Linked DNA regions of Arabidopsis thaliana. The protein of the gene in region 1 interacts with the protein of each later gene in a biochemical or structural test. Each region holds a gene or a part of one and is shown in the gene's direction. Other genes may lie near its edges. The genes, in order: AP1, SEU and VIT1.

Evidence for each region.
Region 2: the proteins of AP1 (region 1) and SEU form a complex in vitro, tested with the Arabidopsis thaliana proteins (one study listed by BioGRID).
Region 3: the proteins of AP1 (region 1) and VIT1 interact in a test that uses a peptide from one of them, tested with the Arabidopsis thaliana proteins (one study listed by BioGRID).

The regions. Positions count from the first base shown.
Region 1 is NC_003070.9:25,981,708-25,988,188, reverse strand, and holds AP1 (K-box region and MADS-box transcription factor family protein), read left to right. Parts: upstream 1-1,839; 5' UTR 1,840-2,086; coding exon 2,087-2,271; intron 2,272-3,251; exon of another isoform or gene 3,252-3,437; intron 3,438-3,613; coding exon 3,614-3,692; intron 3,693-3,792; coding exon 3,793-3,857; intron 3,858-3,950; coding exon 3,951-4,050; intron 4,051-4,281; coding exon 4,282-4,323; intron 4,324-4,409; coding exon 4,410-4,451; intron 4,452-4,930; coding exon 4,931-5,085; intron 5,086-5,253; coding exon of another isoform or gene 5,254-5,290; exon of another isoform or gene 5,291-5,510; coding exon 5,511-5,613; 3' UTR 5,614-5,895; downstream 5,896-6,481. UniProt on the Arabidopsis thaliana protein: Transcription factor that promotes early floral meristem identity in synergy with LEAFY. Is required subsequently for the transition of an inflorescence meristem into a floral meristem. Is indispensable for normal development of sepals and petals in flowers.
Region 2 is NC_003070.9:16,615,068-16,622,577, forward strand, and holds SEU (SEUSS transcriptional co-regulator), read left to right. Parts: upstream 1-1,920; 5' UTR 1,921-2,425; intron 2,426-2,544; 5' UTR 2,545-2,804; coding exon 2,805-3,770; intron 3,771-3,854; coding exon 3,855-3,974; intron 3,975-4,126; coding exon 4,127-4,175; intron 4,176-4,264; coding exon 4,265-4,479; intron 4,480-4,566; coding exon 4,567-4,635; intron 4,636-4,878; coding exon 4,879-4,976; intron 4,977-5,071; coding exon 5,072-5,165; intron 5,166-5,361; coding exon 5,362-5,431; intron 5,432-5,576; coding exon 5,577-6,529; 3' UTR 6,530-6,982; downstream 6,983-7,510. Other genes in the region: AT1G43860 (sequence-specific DNA binding transcription factor), read right to left, coding at 7,177-7,510. UniProt on the Arabidopsis thaliana protein: DNA-binding adapter subunit of the SEU-LUG transcriptional corepressor of the C class floral homeotic gene AGAMOUS during the early stages of floral meristem development.
Region 3 is NC_003071.7:334,049-338,399, reverse strand, and holds VIT1 (vacuolar iron transporter 1), read left to right. Parts: upstream 1-1,937; 5' UTR 1,938-1,974; coding exon 1,975-2,228; intron 2,229-2,660; coding exon 2,661-2,746; intron 2,747-2,837; coding exon 2,838-2,952; intron 2,953-3,327; coding exon 3,328-3,625; 3' UTR 3,626-3,737; downstream 3,738-4,351. Other genes in the region: AT2G01780 (Curculin-like (mannose-binding) lectin family protein), read left to right, coding at 1-2, 36-107, 171-376; RR14 (response regulator 14), read right to left, coding at 3,886-4,287. UniProt on the Arabidopsis thaliana protein: Vacuolar iron transporter involved in the transfer of iron ions from the cytosol to the vacuole for intracellular iron storage. Involved in regulation of cellular iron homeostasis. Vacuolar iron storage is required for seed embryo and seedling development.

The DNA.
Region 1 (6,481 bases):
GGTGGAGATGTAACCGTATCTTAGTGGATCGAGATATTGTATATAAAATATGTATGCTACATCGAATAATAAACTGAAAGAGAGTAAAAAGGGATATTTAATGGGAAGAAAAGAAGGGTGGAGATGTAACAAAGGCGAAGATAATGGATATTCTTGGGATGTTGTCTTCAAGGCCACGAGCTTAGATTCTTTTAGTTTTGCTCAATTTGTTAAGTTTCTACTTTTCCTTTTGTTGCTTACTACTTTTGCTCATGATCTCCATATACATATCATACATATATATAGTATACTATCTTTAGACTGATTTCTCTATACACTATCTTTTAACTTATGTATCGTTTCAAAACTCAGGACGTACATGTTTAAATTTGGTTATATAACCACGACCATTTCAAGTATATATGTCATACCATACCAGATTTAATATAACTTCTATGAAGAAAATACATAAAGTTGGATTAAAATGCAAGTGACATCTTTTTAGCATAGGTTCATTTGGCATAGAAGAAATATATAACTAAAAATGAACTTTAACTTAAATAGATTTTACTATATTACAATTTTTTCTTTTTACATGGTCTAATTTATTTTTCTAAAATTAGTATAATTGTTGTTTTGATGAAACAATAATACCGTAAGCAATAGTTGCTAAAAGATGTCCAAATATTTATAAATTACAAAGTAAATCAAATAAGGAAGAAGACACGTGGAAAACACCAAATAAGAGAAGAAATGGAAAAAACAGAAAGAAATTTTTTAACAAGAAAAATCAATTAGTCCTCAAACCTGAGATATTTAAAGTAATCAACTAAAACAGGAACACTTGACTAACAAAGAAATTTGAAACGTGGTCCAACTTTCACTTAATTATATTGTTTTCTCTAAGGCTTATGCAATATATGCCTTAAGCAAATGCCGAATCTGTTTTTTTTTTTTTTGTTATTGGATATTGACTGAAAATAAGGGGTTTTTTCACACTTGAAGATCTCAAAAGAGAAAACTATTACAACGGAAATTCATTGTAAAAGAAGTGATTAAGCAAATTGAGCAAAGGTTTTTATGTGGTTTATTTCATTATATGATTGACATCAAATTGTATATATATGGTTGTTTTATTTAACAATATATATGGATATAACGTACAAACTAAATATGTTTGATTGACGAAAAAAAATATATGTATGTTTGATTAACAACATAGCACATATTCAACTGATTTTTGTCCTGATCATCTACAACTTAATAAGAACACACAACATTGAACAAATCTTTGACAAAATACTATTTTTGGGTTTGAAATTTTGAATACTTACAATTATTCTTCTCGATCTTCCTCTCTTTCCTTAAATCCTGCGTACAAATCCGTCGACGCAATACATTACACAGTTGTCAATTGGTTCTCAGCTCTACCAAAAACATCTATTGCCAAAAGAAAGGTCTATTTGTACTTCACTGTTACAGCTGAGAACATTAAATATAATAAGCAAATTTGATAAAACAAAGGGTTCTCACCTTATTCCAAAAGAATAGTGTAAAATAGGGTAATAGAGAAATGTTAATAAAAGGAAATTAAAAATAGATATTTTGGTTGGTTCAGATTTTGTTTCGTAGATCTACAGGGAAATCTCCGCCGTCAATGCAAAGCGAAGGTGACACTTGGGGAAGGACCAGTGGTCCGTACAATGTTACTTACCCATTTCTCTTCACGAGACGTCGATAATCAAATTGTTTATTTTCATATTTTTAAGTCCGCAGTTTTATTAAAAAATCATGGACCCGACATTAGTACGAGATATACCAATGAGAAGTCGACACGCAAATCCTAAAGAAACCACTGTGGTTTTTGCAAACAAGAGAAACCAGCTTTAGCTTTTCCCTAAAACCACTCTTACCCAAATCTCTCCATAAATAAAGATCCCGAGACTCAAACACAAGTCTTTTTATAAAGGAAAGAAAGAAAAACTTTCCTAATTGGTTCATACCAAAGTCTGAGCTCTTCTTTATATCTCTCTTGTAGTTTCTTATTGGGGGTCTTTGTTTTGTTTGGTTCTTTTAGAGTAAGAAGTTTCTTAAAAAAGGATCAAAAATGGGAAGGGGTAGGGTTCAATTGAAGAGGATAGAGAACAAGATCAATAGACAAGTGACATTCTCGAAAAGAAGAGCTGGTCTTTTGAAGAAAGCTCATGAGATCTCTGTTCTCTGTGATGCTGAAGTTGCTCTTGTTGTCTTCTCCCATAAGGGAAAACTCTTCGAATACTCCACTGATTCTTGGTAACTTCAACTAATTCTTTACTTTTAAAAAAATCTTTTAATCTGCTACTTTATATAGTTTTTTCCCCCTTAAGTTGACTACTTGATTTGCCCTAATTATTCACTACTGCTTTTGTTTATATATTTTCTAGGGCTTCCATTTTTGGATTTTTTGATTAGCCAGAAAAATGTTTAATACAAATTTGTATAATTTAAAAATCAAAACTTTAGGGCCGTAGTGAAGTGAACCCTAGAACACACTAATTATACCATAGTAATTACCTTGATATATTGTGCAATATTTATCAGCATCATATCTTCAAACTCAAGAGCATATAGAAGGGTGTATGTTTAATCTTTGAACTAGGGTTTTGATCCCTAACTCATAATGAATTCTTTTGTTCTCCAATAGCCATGTCTTTCGAATTTGCAGATCTAAGCTCTAATTGATGCCATAGTAAGAAAATAAGATCTGTAGTTTTCACTCGCTCACTGAGTTCGAGTTTTAAATGAAGTGTCGTTTCTTTTTTCATATATAAGTTGCAACTGGATTATAATTAAAAAATATTATGGGACGAGAAAATAAATTAAAATAGATATAGATAATAATGTCAAATTGAGAATTTTTTATTAGAAAGAATATTTAACTTACGAGTTGTTTTTTTTCAGCTGTAAAAGAATATCTAATTTGTTCTCACGACTGTGTCTTCATGTTTTGCAAATCTAAGCAAAGAAAATGTTTAAACTCGGATCTTAAGATTATGAACTCGTAATATAAAACACTATATAGTATTAAATTTGAACTAGTGTTGCTTCTTTTTCTATTTGACTTTAGAAATTAAAACTGAAACAAAGATGTCAAATCTGAGTAGGGAGTCTTTGACCTCTGGGGATCCATAAAAAGAATTAACTCCATCCTAAAATCGGCTTCTTACCGATGGTCAAACTTAGCTCCAACAAGCAACAGCTGTTCTTCTTTTTTTTTTTTTCTTTTTTTTTTTAAGCATTGTCCTTGTTCTGAAAAAAAATAAGATTGGTAAATTGGCAAGATTATAATAATTTATTATAATGTGTCGCATCTAAGAAGATTTTCTGTACCTAATTGTAGCAAAATTAAAGAAACCGCAGTTAGAACTCGAAGCTAAGAGCATAGGGTCTATGATTCATACTGTTTTGTTATTATAAAGGTATCATAGAGATCGGTACTTGATTTGTTATAGGAAATCTTGGTTTAATTGCATAAAACCATCATTAGATTTATCCTAAAATGTGATGATATTTTGGTTACATCTCCATATTATTTATATAATAAAATGATAATTGGTTGATGATAAAGCTAACCCTAATTCTGTGAAATGATCAGTATGGAGAAGATACTTGAACGCTATGAGAGGTACTCTTACGCCGAAAGACAGCTTATTGCACCTGAGTCCGACGTCAATGTATTTCAATAAATATTTCTCCTTTTAATCCACATATATATTATATCAATCTATTTGTAGTATTGATGAATTTTATTTGTATAAAACTTCTGGTACACAGACAAACTGGTCGATGGAGTATAACAGGCTTAAGGCTAAGATTGAGCTTTTGGAGAGAAACCAGAGGTACACATTTACACTCATCACATTTCTATCTAGGAAATCGATCGGGTTCCATTTTAAAGTAAGTTAAAATTCATTGATGCTATTGAAATTCAGGCATTATCTTGGGGAAGACTTGCAAGCAATGAGCCCTAAAGAGCTTCAGAATCTGGAGCAGCAGCTTGACACTGCTCTTAAGCACATCCGCACTAGAAAAGTATTGCCTTCTGCTATTTCGTTGAACATATCTATATAACTTAAACGTTTACAAGTGTTATTATAATGTGAACATTGAAATACATATGTGTATGTATCAATATATATATCAGTAATCAATATCAATTTGATATGTCTATAGGTTGGTTCGAATGTATGAGTTATGTTGTGTATTTTAAGACTCATATTACTTAAAGTAATGGGTTGTTAATGTTGATGTGTGTGTATGCAGAACCAACTTATGTACGAGTCCATCAATGAGCTCCAAAAAAAGGTATGTAAAACCCCTATCAAATGTATGTCTTATAGAGAAACGTATAGGAAAGCTAATTAACAATCGTGCCGTTTCGGAAATGACAGGAGAAGGCCATACAGGAGCAAAACAGCATGCTTTCTAAACAGGTAACACATGTCATCATTTCTCTTTCATCAACATGTTGTCCATTGCATTACTGTTACCTTCCACTGTTCTGCTCCACACTTCCAGCCAAGCTATACCTACGATATCTTCATATCTCCACTTAACTTCGGCACCATTAAATAAAAATAGAAAATCTTTGCAAATTGTTTGAAATAGCATAGATGTTGTCTATTGATTGATATAATCACCAGCCTGTACGTAGATATGGTTTGTCCGTTTAGTTTTAAGGTTGTCTCTCGGATTGAAAATATTTGAAACTTTGAAATGTTGTCCCATCATTCTACTTAGCTCATATCTATGTATATGAATATAGACACTACTCCTAATTATAAAAATGTTATAATAGTTCATTGCATGAGTGCAACTGTGAAAATAACTATTTGTAACCATTGCATATATATAGTTTCTTCACTTTGAAAATTGATGATGATAATATGGTTTGAAATAAATTTGCTGGCAGATCAAGGAGAGGGAAAAAATTCTTAGGGCTCAACAGGAGCAGTGGGATCAGCAGAACCAAGGCCACAATATGCCTCCCCCTCTGCCACCGCAGCAGCACCAAATCCAGCATCCTTACATGCTCTCTCATCAGCCATCTCCTTTTCTCAACATGGGGTAACAAAAAATTACTAATCAGTCTTAATTTAAAGCACATATGTTATGCAAGCTAGTTACGTTAGGTGTTGTAATTTCATTGAAGTTATAGCTGTTAGTGATGGTTACATGATGTCATGATTTTGAAACTAGAAAACTTTATTTTAAAACATTATTTTATTAACGTAGGTTAATGCAATGGTCGCCAAACGAACAAACTTATTAGTGTGGAAAATGTACATGGAATGGTTGCGAAAAGCCTAAGTCGACTTTTTGTTGTTGTTGGTCTATGTGTTTAAGTACAATTTTAGTTTGTTAGATAAATGAAATTAATATATCTTTGACATTTCACAATGGACTGATATTTGATTTTCCTTTGTTGTACGGTGAAACATATGATTACATATGCACTTTCATATATATCCTATGTATGATTGTGAATGCAGTGGTCTGTATCAAGAAGATGATCCTATGGCAATGAGGAGGAATGATCTCGAACTGACTCTTGAACCCGTTTACAACTGCAACCTTGGCTGCTTCGCCGCATGAAGCATTTCCATATATATATTTGTAATCGTCAACAATAAAAACAGTTTGCCACATACATATAAATAGTGGCTAGGCTCTTTTCATCCAATTAATATATTTTGGCAAATGTTCGATGTTCTTATATCATCATATATAAATTAGCAGGCTCCTTTCTTCTTTTGTAATTTGATAAGTTTATTTGCTTCAATATGGAGCAAAATTGTAATATATTTGAAGGTCAGAGAGAATGAACGTGAACTTAATAGATCGGACCTTTTTTTTTTTTTGTTGCATTAAGTTAGGAGTGGCAAAATTTCTTATTATTTCAAGTTTACAACAAGCGAACTTGAGTGGTTGGGCCGTATTAATCGGAATAGAACCCAATTAGAATCAAGGAAGGATGTTGGCCTATAAAGGCCCAGAATTTGCTTCTAATTAGATAAGATAGGCAATAATAACAGTGCCTCCGAATGGATGAGGATCTGTAATGTAACACCCTGGTAGTCTCTCTGATACATTTGTTTGATTAGTGATCGAATAATTAGTGTGTATTGACTTGTTTCATGGAGCTAAGGACACGAGACTTACAGTAAAGGGACCAGTGAAAATGCCCACTAAGGTTCTTAAGATATATCACCACCAGAAAGGCACGTTGTGGTAAGCGTAACTCTCACATTATCTTCTCTTCATCTACATTCAGTAAAATGTTGCTAAACTCAAGAAAAGGCACGTTGTGGTAAGCGTAACTCTCACATTATCTTCTCTTCGTTGTATTCCTGCTAATTTTTTTAGAAAACAATTTCTGTATTAAACATTTTGGTAATTATATTGTTTGGTCTTCATGTTTCAGTTACTACAACTTTATATTTTTTGGTTCTTGAAGAAGTTT
Region 2 (7,510 bases), 9.4 Mb from region 1:
TAATACTGTAAGAATATGTGAGATTTTCTAGTTTAAGATTGGAAATATCTAAGTGTTGGGTGAAAATCACAAGAGGAATTATTGTATTAGATTGTGATAATAAGTGGAATTATTAATTTGCATTTGACATGATATATGGATATAAATTGTAAGACGACAGATTTTTTAAAAAGTTATTCTAATCAAACAAGTCACCTTCAATAACAATTGATTAGAACATACCGCGTCATATAGTAAAAAACCTTTAAATCATATGTTAACATTCTCTTCTTCTATAAAGTAACATCAAATAGTTACTACAATGAGATATACAACAATCAAGTATGGTATTTAGGGTTTAACGTAAGATTTGAGAGATATGATTTATGCAATGACATCCAAATTTGATAGATATTGAGAAGATATAGAAAAAGCCAATAAAATATTGATAGTGGCTAAAATATTTGATCATTTTCATATAATGATATTTGCATTGTTTAGCTTTAAACTTATACGTGGATAAGGTAATCTAAAGTGTGAGAAATAATAATTTGCTGATAAATATTTTGTAGAGATAATTTGAGTATAGTGTTTGATAGACCAGTTTAAGTCTACAATCTTCTTTCTGTAAATGAGTTGGAAACATATCAAAAAGACGAGTCAGATATACTCAACCATGTTTTAAGGTAGTAAAAATAAATAGATCAAAATATTCAACCATGTTTCCAATGGCAGGAGAAGTTCTTGCAATACCAATATCTTTGGCTATATATGAGTCTGTTTTTTTAACCATTAGTGATTGTAATTTAAATCAATATAAAAGCTATTTGGTTTGTGGTGTTGTTAAACCGGGTGAAGCACTCTCTCAACTCTTTATACATATTTTTTCTTTTTGTTGACTAATAAATTTAACATTTTAACACACAAAAAAATGCTTTTGACTTAAAATTGGTTACATGCATTATTAGGTTCAGAAAAAATGAGGTATTTAAGATTTATATTCAGCAATGGTTCATATATATGCTCTCATGTCTGATTTTTTCTTTTAAATATATTTATGTTAGAAAATGATCTGCAACACATCAGACTAAAAAACTGAATTATTTTTTTTATATATTTTCTAATATTAATAGAAAACGGTTTATTAAACAAATGAATATGCAAATACTCTAAACCGTGAGAATTCCTTGTGGAGTTTCATTTGTATATAATATTTATTTTCTTTGCTTTATAACTTTAAAATACCATCATGATTATTATAGTTCAGCTTCTATGTAATGAAACCATGTAGACAATAAAATAAAGAAAATAAGAAGCAGTTTTTATTATCTAAAAAGCGTAGACAAAAATAATTAAGAAAACTTGAACAAAAGAAAAAAGATAGAAAGTTGAGACGAAAAAGAATATATAAGGGGAATGGGAAAAAAAAATCATCTAAGCAAGGGATGAAGATCAAACTCGAGTTGTTTAATCTCATACATAAATCCGCTTTCAAATTAATTTTATGTTGTCGTTCCATAATTATATTTTTTCTTAAAAATAGTCTTGTTTTCCATTCTCTCTCTCAAACCAAATTTACACATTTAAATAAACTTTAAACAGAAAAACCACTATTAATGTAGTAATATATTAAATATTGATATATTTCTATATCAAATTTAAAACTAAAACCAAAAAAAGAAAGAAAAATTTCTATATCAAATTTAGAACTAAAAACAAATAAAAATAGTGTCATTTCCATTATGTTCTTTTAAACCAAACTTTACATTCTAAGAAAAAACACTATTGATGTGTATATTAAACTTTTGATATCTTTCTAAATCAAACTTTTCTTAAGGTATTTAAAAGTGATAGTATTCTGAATGGAAAAATAACAATTTAACACTAAAACCAATAAAATAAAGAGAAAAATGTTTGTGGCTAACAAAAAAAAAAAATCCAGATTGTGATTACAAAAAAAAAACATTTCTAGGGCATGTCATTGACTTCCTTTGAAGAAGAAGAAGAAGAGAGAGAGAGACTGAAAAAGAAAAAGTAAGAAAGGGAATGAAATAAATCCGATCGAATACAATTTTGACGTCCGCAAGGACACTATTCTCTCTCTTCTCATCTTCTTCTTTCTCTCTTCTCTCTCTCTCTCTACAGCGAAGAACAGGACACAAATTACTCTGTGAAGCTTAAAAAGGTATAATTTTTAATAAAACCCAGAAACTACAATTTCTAGGCGGCAGAGAAAATTTGTTTCTACTTCTTTTTGTTTCTCTTTGTCTTCTCGTCTCTTTATCCCCAAACCCATCAATAAAAAACCCTAAAAGACTTCAAATTTCTTCAAGATTTTGTTCATCGGAAGTTTTCAGATTTTTAGTTGTGTAAAGTCTCTTCCTTTTTGTTCGATTCTCTTTGTTTTGAGTCTTATCAGAGACTTATTCTTCAATTCCACCTCTGGGTAAGTTTCTATAGATTCTCACTAGTAATCTCTGTTTTTTTTCTCAATTAGGGTTTGATCAAAGTTTCGTTTTTTTCTTTCTGGGTTTGTTCTTAACATTATGCTTTTGTTTTGTTAAGGTGGTGAGAGTTGGAAATGGAGTAGATTTGCTTAATTTAGATCTGTAAGTAATCAACAGACAGTGTTGTTTGGTTCTAGAATGTTCGATACGGAATCTCATCACTCAGATTCATCTCTTTCCGTGGTGTTTACGACTCTGAAGCTTATCATTGCTCAGAAAGAATACGTCTTTGCTCCTACACAGAGCTGAGTTTTATAAAGTCGTCAGTTTTGTTTCTTGCTTTCTTTGTTGATTGTGGAGTTGTGAATTAGTAAGAGTATGGTACCATCAGAGCCGCCTAATCCTGTTGGGGGTGGTGAAAATGTTCCGCCTTCGATATTAGGAGGACAAGGAGGAGCTCCTCTTCCTTCTCAACCAGCATTTCCTTCACTTGTCTCTCCGCGTACTCAGTTTGGTAACAATATGAGTATGAGTATGCTTGGGAATGCTCCAAATATATCTTCTCTTCTCAATAATCAGTCTTTTGTAAATGGTATCCCTGGTTCTATGATTTCTATGGATACAAGTGGTGCTGAGTCTGACCCGATGTCTAACGTCGGGTTTAGTGGTTTGTCGTCTTTTAATGCGTCGAGTATGGTGTCTCCGCGCTCATCAGGTCAAGTTCAGGGTCAGCAGTTTTCGAATGTTTCGGCTAACCAGTTGTTGGCTGAGCAACAACGGAATAAGAAAATGGAGACGCAGAGTTTTCAACATGGTCAGCAGCAGTCAATGCAGCAGCAGTTTTCGACAGTGCGTGGTGGTGGATTAGCAGGTGTGGGACCTGTTAAGATGGAGCCTGGTCAGGTTTCGAATGATCAGCAGCATGGTCAAGTACAACAGCAGCAACAGAAAATGTTGAGAAACCTAGGGTCAGTTAAGTTGGAACCGCAGCAAATTCAGGCCATGAGAAATTTGGCCCAAGTGAAAATGGAACCTCAACATTCTGAGCAGTCATTGTTTCTCCAACAACAGCAGAGGCAACAACAGCAACAACAACAACAACAATTTCTTCAAATGCCGGGGCAATCTCCGCAGGCTCAAATGAACATATTTCAGCAGCAGAGACTTATGCAACTTCAACAACAGCAACTCTTGAAATCTATGCCTCAACAGCGTCCTCAATTACCACAGCAGTTCCAACAGCAGAATTTACCTCTAAGGCCACCTCTGAAACCAGTGTATGAACCTGGCATGGGTGCTCAGCGTCTTACACAGTATATGTACAGACAACAACATAGGCCTGAAGTAAAGCTTCTTACCATAAATTTAACTTCTTTCAGCCTATGGCTTTTCTTCATAATTGACATTTGTGCTTGCTATTAAATGCAGGACAATAATATCGAGTTCTGGAGAAAATTTGTAGCTGAGTACTTTGCTCCTAATGCCAAAAAGAGATGGTGCGTCTCTATGTATGGCAGTGGCAGGCAAACAACAGGCGTTTTCCCTCAGGTTGGTTTACTGCTCAATGAACTTATCTTGTTTGTAATACAATTGTAAAGGAGCTTGTCTTTTGCACCTGAGCCAGTTATTCTGGATAAATTACGTACTTGTTTCATGTTATACCTCTTTACATGAGTATTTTTATTCCACAAACATTGCAGGATGTGTGGCACTGTGAGATATGTAACCGAAAGCCTGGACGTGGTTTTGGTATGTTATTTAGATGATCAGTGCAGACAATTTCCTGTACATCTTATCAAATATTCCTTCCTTACTGCTTTGTCTCTTTCATTGTTTAGAGGCAACCGCCGAAGTCCTTCCGCGGCTGTTTAAGATTAAGTATGAGAGTGGGACGTTAGAAGAACTGTTATATGTAGATATGCCAAGGGAGTCCCAGAATTCATCTGGCCAAATTGTCCTGGAGTATGCAAAAGCAACACAAGAGAGTGTCTTTGAGCATCTTCGGGTTGTTCGTGATGGCCAACTTCGAATAGTCTTCTCGCCAGATCTTAAGGTTCTTCAAGCTACTCTATCTTTCGCAGCAAATTATTATACTATTACTTTCTCTCCAAGCCCTTTATTCTTGTAAGTTCCTTCTCAGATATTCTCCTGGGAATTTTGTGCTCGGCGGCATGAAGAGCTTATTCCACGAAGACTTTTGATACCGCAGGTAACTTCCAGAAAGATTCACCATATTGCTCTGACATATAGTTATTTTGGAGATGCGGCCTTTCCTTTTGTCACAAAATTGGATATGCTGTCTTAATATTATTCTAGTCTGCTTTTCTTTGCGAAATCGTCACTTTACCTTTCATCTTTTGTGGTTTCCAAATTTCAATAGGAGTAGAATATTACACATCTAAATCAGTGAAAACAGCTTAGGTAAATTAGCTATTTTTGTATTCACATACAGGTTAGTCAGCTTGGATCGGCAGCTCAGAAATATCAACAAGCTGCTCAAAATGCAACAACAGATTCTGCTCTTCCGGAGCTACAAAATAATTGCAATATGTAAACTTCCTCTCTTTCGCTGTGAAATTGATGTAACAAATCCTGTTATTCGACTTTTGATTGGTGATCTCTGATGTGCTGCAACTGGTCTGCAGGTTTGTTGCATCTGCTAGACAATTGGCAAAGGCCCTGGAAGTACCACTTGTGAATGATTTGGGATACACAAAGAGATATGTTCGGTGTTTGCAGGTAAATAACTAATGTCTCAATATGGATCAAGTGAACTCTACAATCTTGCTTAAAACTTAAGATTCTTGCCATCAATGAAAATGCAGCTTTGAAAAGGATAATACATAAAAATGAAATAAACTTAATCAATCTTTGTATTTAGTCTGTCCCTGTGACCATGTTTGCCAATGCACATTGATATTTTGCAATATTGTAGATCTCAGAGGTGGTAAATAGTATGAAGGACCTGATAGATTATAGCAGAGAAACACGAACAGGACCAATCGGTAAGTTTATGTGACCACCTTTTAATGCATTTGGTATTTTTAATCTTGAAGCACCTACTCTTTTCGTTCATGTATTATATCAGAACTTCATTGTACATATTCTCCGGTGATTTGACTGATGTCATGTTTTCTTTCTTTGGTACAGAGAGTTTAGCCAAGTTTCCTCGGAGAACAGGCCCTTCATCTGCACTGCCTGGTCCTTCTCCTCAGCAAGCCAGCGACCAGCTTAGGCAGCAGCAGCAACAACAACAGCAGCAGCAGCAACAGCAACAACAACAACAACAACAACAGCAGCAGCAGCAAACAGTTTCCCAGAATACAAACAGTGATCAAAGTAGTAGGCAAGTTGCACTAATGCAGGGTAATCCAAGCAATGGTGTAAATTATGCCTTTAATGCAGCCTCTGCATCCACTTCCACCAGCAGCATCGCAGGGCTCATCCACCAGAATTCAATGAAGGGAAGACATCAGAATGCTGCTTACAATCCTCCAAACAGCCCCTATGGAGGAAACTCTGTTCAGATGCAATCACCTAGTTCCTCGGGTACCATGGTGCCATCATCATCGCAGCAACAACACAACCTGCCAACATTTCAGTCTCCAACATCCTCATCTAATAACAATAATCCCTCTCAAAACGGGATACCATCTGTTAATCACATGGGTTCCACAAACTCACCAGCAATGCAACAGGCAGGTGAGGTTGATGGAAACGAGTCTAGCTCGGTGCAGAAGATACTGAATGAAATCCTGATGAACAACCAAGCTCATAATAATAGCTCAGGAGGAAGCATGGTTGGGCATGGGTCTTTCGGGAATGATGGGAAGGGTCAAGCTAATGTAAATAGTTCTGGTGTTTTACTGATGAATGGCCAAGTGAACAACAACAACAACACAAATATTGGAGGTGCTGGTGGGTTTGGTGGTGGGATTGGTCAATCCATGGCAGCAAACGGAATCAATAATATAAACGGTAACAATAGTCTCATGAACGGAAGAGTTGGGATGATGGTGCGGGATCCAAACGGTCAACAGGATTTAGGAAACCAACTTTTAGGAGCAGTGAATGGTTTCAACAATTTTGATTGGAACGCGTGAAATGAAGAAGAGGAAGAAGAGACACTGAAAGGGTAATGTTCTGCTTGCGCAGCATCACACATCTTCAAACTCAGGATAAGGATAGGCCAATAAGCCGTGATATTGTGCTTAAGAAAGGAAGAGTCAAATCTTTGTATCAATAACTGGTTTCTAGGTCACCTCCACAATCACCAATACCATCTCTTGAGTTACTGTTTCTTTTTTTACTTTGGGGAGTTTTTCTTATGCTTTATAGTTTATAATGTACATCTTTCTATCGGTGTGTGTTCCTTAGGGCACATCATCAGGGAGGCAATGAATCAAGCTCTATCCTTCATTTATCTCTCTGGTCTCTTCCATGTGTTAACCAAACTTCCCTAAATTCTGACCACAACGTTAAATATGTGCAATGCTCTTGAACGATGCTGATCGGTCATGATTTTTTGTTGTTAGTGCAATGAAATACCACAAGCCGTACGATGTCTATTGTTTGGTCACAGTTATTAATCAAATACCAAATATCCAAGCTTGTCTCTTAAACACAAGTTTTTACTCTTAAAGTTTGCGCAAAATTTCATTCCACAAGTTTTGTGTATTCATACTCACATATGACTACGAGATTTAACACATTGACAAAATTAAAAGCACAAAAGGAGAAAATTGTAGTTTCAGAAAGAGTAGTCTTTCAAATCTGCTCTAGAGTCGTCCATGTCAATCTCAGACATGCATTCGTCAGCACTAATAGGAGGGAGTTTCCGAGTCTTACGCTTAAGGTTGTGTTTGTGCCAATCACTCTTACAGTGCTCTCTGTATTGCTTAGCCTCTCCAACGAACGTGTTGCAAGTGCTGCACTTGGTCCCCTTCTTTTCTTCTCCACCTTCTTGCTTTATGTTATCTGTAGTACTTATCTCTTGCTTCTGCAGTTTCTTGCTAAGTTCAACGACGGGATCGGTCAAATCCTTAGTCTCAGTCTCAGCAGGTAACAACGGCTTGTGGGTTTGC
Region 3 (4,351 bases), on another chromosome or scaffold:
GAGTTACACGCTAAACCTCGAACCTAAAAGATGAGGAGAGGAATATGTTGCCTCAAGCTTCCCTGAGCTTTTCGTTTCTAACTATGAGGGCCGACTGTACGGGACTGGTTCTTCTATTAACCTCTTTCTGAATACCACCAAAATGTATGAAGATCTTCTAGTACCACCAGGCCCCTTGGATGACCAAAAAGAACAGAGTCTAATGGATAAAACTTTTCTAAGTGATAAAATTTACATAGCTGACATACAAGAGGTCAGTTTCACGGCTTACAACGACAGCATCTTCACAAGATTGAACCTAAGCCCTCCCGGAATTTTACAGCGCTTGACATGGAACCAGACAGTAGAGAGATGGATTGGTTCTTGGCACCAGTAATAATATTTATCCAAAACTAACTAATAGAAACCCAATAATGTGTTTTCAAAAAAAAAAAAAAACCAATTATGTATCCAAAAAGTGTCCAACGCATTTAATTTAATTACATATCAAAAGTAATAATATTTTTTACTTTAATCTTAAAAAATTCCTTATCTTATTCCAAGAATGAAAACATCAACAACCAAATTAGTTGATAGTTTTTGGAAGTACTTATATCAAATTATAAAACATCAGATTAGTTTCTTAATTATATTTTTGGTTTTGTATTTTAATTAGCTAAACTAAAGTTTTTAAATGGATCAATCTAATACTTAATTATATAGAAAATGAAGATGACATTTACCCAACTGTAACTATTTTGTAACCGTGTGAACATTGGGAATTTGCTGATGATATAACATTCTCGTTATATGTTATGTGTCAAATGAGACTTTGAATGTTTCTAATAATCTGATAAATGGTCACAGAAGTTAAAGATGAAAAACATGAAAGTGTGTGAATTGGAGCGTTGCATATGGCTTCATGTAAATTAGCTTTTTTCTCATGCGTTATTCTTTTGCAGACTCATATAAGATTTGTTGCTTTCTCATATAACTTTCTTTTATATTTTCAGAAAATTTATCGTGTCCACGTAGAAAATGCATACATATGGCCAGCTTCATGCCGTGGGCAAAGCATGTGGCAAACACGCTCAATTTTATCTGAAGTTCTGATCAAAAAGTTCAAAACTCAAACCTATTTCTCCTTGTCTTATAGAACTTGTGTGGAAAGCATATATAGGATCTTAATCGGTGAATAAAGTTTTACAGATGAGGTCACAACTCACAAGACTTCTCGCGGTTAAAATTAACTCATATGAGATGGTTCCATGTTGGAAAAAAAAAGACATGGTTTAATTAAAAGCGAAAAATAACATTAGAGTAGGTATAATGATATTGTTCATCCGTAATTTGATTATTGGAAATTTGCGCATAACAGCACCAATACTCTAAAGATACTTAATTTGATGCTCAATTCAACATGAACACGGAAAAAAAATGATACGTATAAGGTATGTGGATGCTCTTAGATTTAGCGTAATTAAAAATTGATTAATAAAGCGTATTTAAAAATTGATTAATATACAATTTACTTTCTCTTCATTATATTAGAAAATAACTTGGAATAATATTTATAAGATTAAATACTTTTACTTACAGTATAAAGGTTTTCCTTTAAAATATGTGTTTGAATTAATATGTAAGGGATTTGACACACTTTAATTGCAAACTCATGGAAACTACTTGTGGGCATATTGCTTAGTGTTTTCTTTTATGGCTTTCTTATAAATAATGGTAACAAATCAATAATTAAATAATATGATATATATTATACTTAAATGAAACTCATAGGAAAATTTTTTAAGTAAATTTGAAACCAAATTACAAAATAACTAATATGATGTGATGATATGTTTCCCCTCGTTCTTTACGTATATATATATATATATATATATATATATATATATATATATATATATATCATGTTCCCACACACACACTTCACAACTTTGAGAAAGAAAAAAAACGAGAGAGAAAGAGAATCGATCATCAACAATGTCGTCGGAGGAAGATAAGATTACAAGAATCTCTATCGAACCGGAGAAGCAAACACTTCTCGATCATCACACCGAGAAACACTTCACCGCCGGAGAAATCGTACGTGACATCATCATCGGCGTCTCTGATGGTTTAACCGTTCCTTTTGCCCTCGCCGCCGGTCTCTCCGGTGCCAATGCTTCTTCTTCTATAGTCCTTACCGCTGGAATCGCCGAAGTCGCGGCCGGTGCTATCTCCATGGGACTCGGCGGGTACTTCTCTTTTTACTAGTTCCGTTTTAATTGACACGTAAACTCTCTATATAGTTTTGAAATAATGGCTACATGCAAATGATGATTCATTTCCTACTTGTGGTGTAATTACTACTACACATTAACATAAATAACGTATGATAAAGTTGTGGTATAAAAGTTGTTCAATGGAATACTAATTTGTTTAAATTTACACGTAAGTCCCACATAATTTTGTTGGGTTTAAATTAGTCCTAGACTAATTTACCAAAACAAAAATAGTCCTAGATCATGCAACCATGTTACCATGATCATATACAATGCATGCATCCATATGTAATAAAAAAAAAATTCATATTTAGTTAGTCTCTTGAGTAATCATATTGTAAGAAAAGTAGTGAGTTATAACTATATGAGTTCAATGCAAGATTAAAAACTGGATAACAAATTTAGGTATTTAGCGGCAAAGAGCGAAGAAGATCATTACGCGAGGGAGATGAAACGAGAACAAGAAGAGATCGTGGCCGTTCCTGAAACTGGTAAGACCAAATTACACTCAATCTAAGCCATCCATATATAAGAAAATTATCCGGTTTAACACATTTTAATTACGATATGGATTTAAAACAGAGGCAGCTGAAGTGGCAGAGATTCTGGCACAGTACGGGATAGAGCCACATGAATATTCACCTGTAGTTAATGCTCTTCGTAAGAATCCTCAAGCTTGGCTTGATTTTATGATGAGGTTAGTCTCACTAATGAAAATTAGTGTTATTTTATGTATACTATATAGTCCATTAGTATTATTTTATGTATATTATATAGTCTTAATTAAAGAGAAAATCGAGGGATACTTTTAGATTTCTGCAAAAGCTGAGCTTATACTTTCCAGGTGTGGGCAAGATTCTTATATGGTCCGACTTCCAATTTTAATCTTTTTTGTTGCAACAAATAAAGTACGTGAATAGTAACAAACAGAAAACAACAAATTACGTGAATATAAAAACTTATCTTATTGATTTGGTTAAGTTTAACACTCTTTACCTATCACAAAATGTTTATATTCCTACTATAAGCATGTAACTTGTTATATAAGTGAGACTTTATTGTTTCGTTACAGGTTTGAGCTGGGATTAGAGAAGCCTGATCCAAAAAGAGCGTTACAAAGCGCGTTCACGATTGCAATCGCTTATGTTCTTGGCGGTTTTATACCGTTACTTCCCTACATGCTCATACCGCATGCCATGGATGCGGTAGTGGCGTCTGTGGTTATAACTCTGTTTGCGCTCTTCATATTTGGCTATGCAAAAGGGCATTTCACTGGAAGCAAGCCCCTCAGAAGTGCGTTTGAAACCGCCTTTATAGGAGCGATTGCTTCAGCTGCTGCTTTTTGTTTGGCTAAAGTTGTGCAACATTAGCAGTAACAAAACTAGTGTTGCGTTTGATGTTTTGTGTACTTTGAGACTTGTTTGTTGCATGTCTTGTGGTTATTATCAGGCTAAAACTTTTGGCAACCATAATAAAGTGAGAGATAACAATTCAAAATATTGGTTACATAATTACTTTCCTAAGCTAACATTGCAGACACACAAGTTTTCTTCTGACATTAATCCATTCCTGAAGATTTAAAAGAAACAGTTGCAGAGCCTTCTCTTCTTAAGCGTATCCATATTGGTCACTATCTTTGTCTTGAAGATCTTTCCAAGATCCAAGATTCTTCATTGACATTTGATCCATACCCTTGTCTGATTCTGTTGTTGTTAACGTCACCTCTCTGTCTGAAATTTGCTGAGGAAGATAGACCATGAACCGCCACAGAAACAGGACGGTTAGAAGCGGATGATACATCAACCGAGAAGTGTTCATTTTGAGATCTACCAAGATTGTCATTAGGAATCCAAACTCCAAAACTAGCAGAGTGATGATTGTCTATTGGTTGACCAAACAATGCAGCTAATGTCTGTGGATGTAATTGTCCTGAGGAAACCAGAGCTTGAATGTTTTCATATCTTTTGGTAGACTCAGAGTCATTACTCTGCGAAGCTTCACCGCTTAATCTCTTCAAATACAATCGGAACTTCTGCAAATGGTATTGATTCAGTCATAACCCTTATAGAGACCCTAATAAGAAGAAAGATTCAATC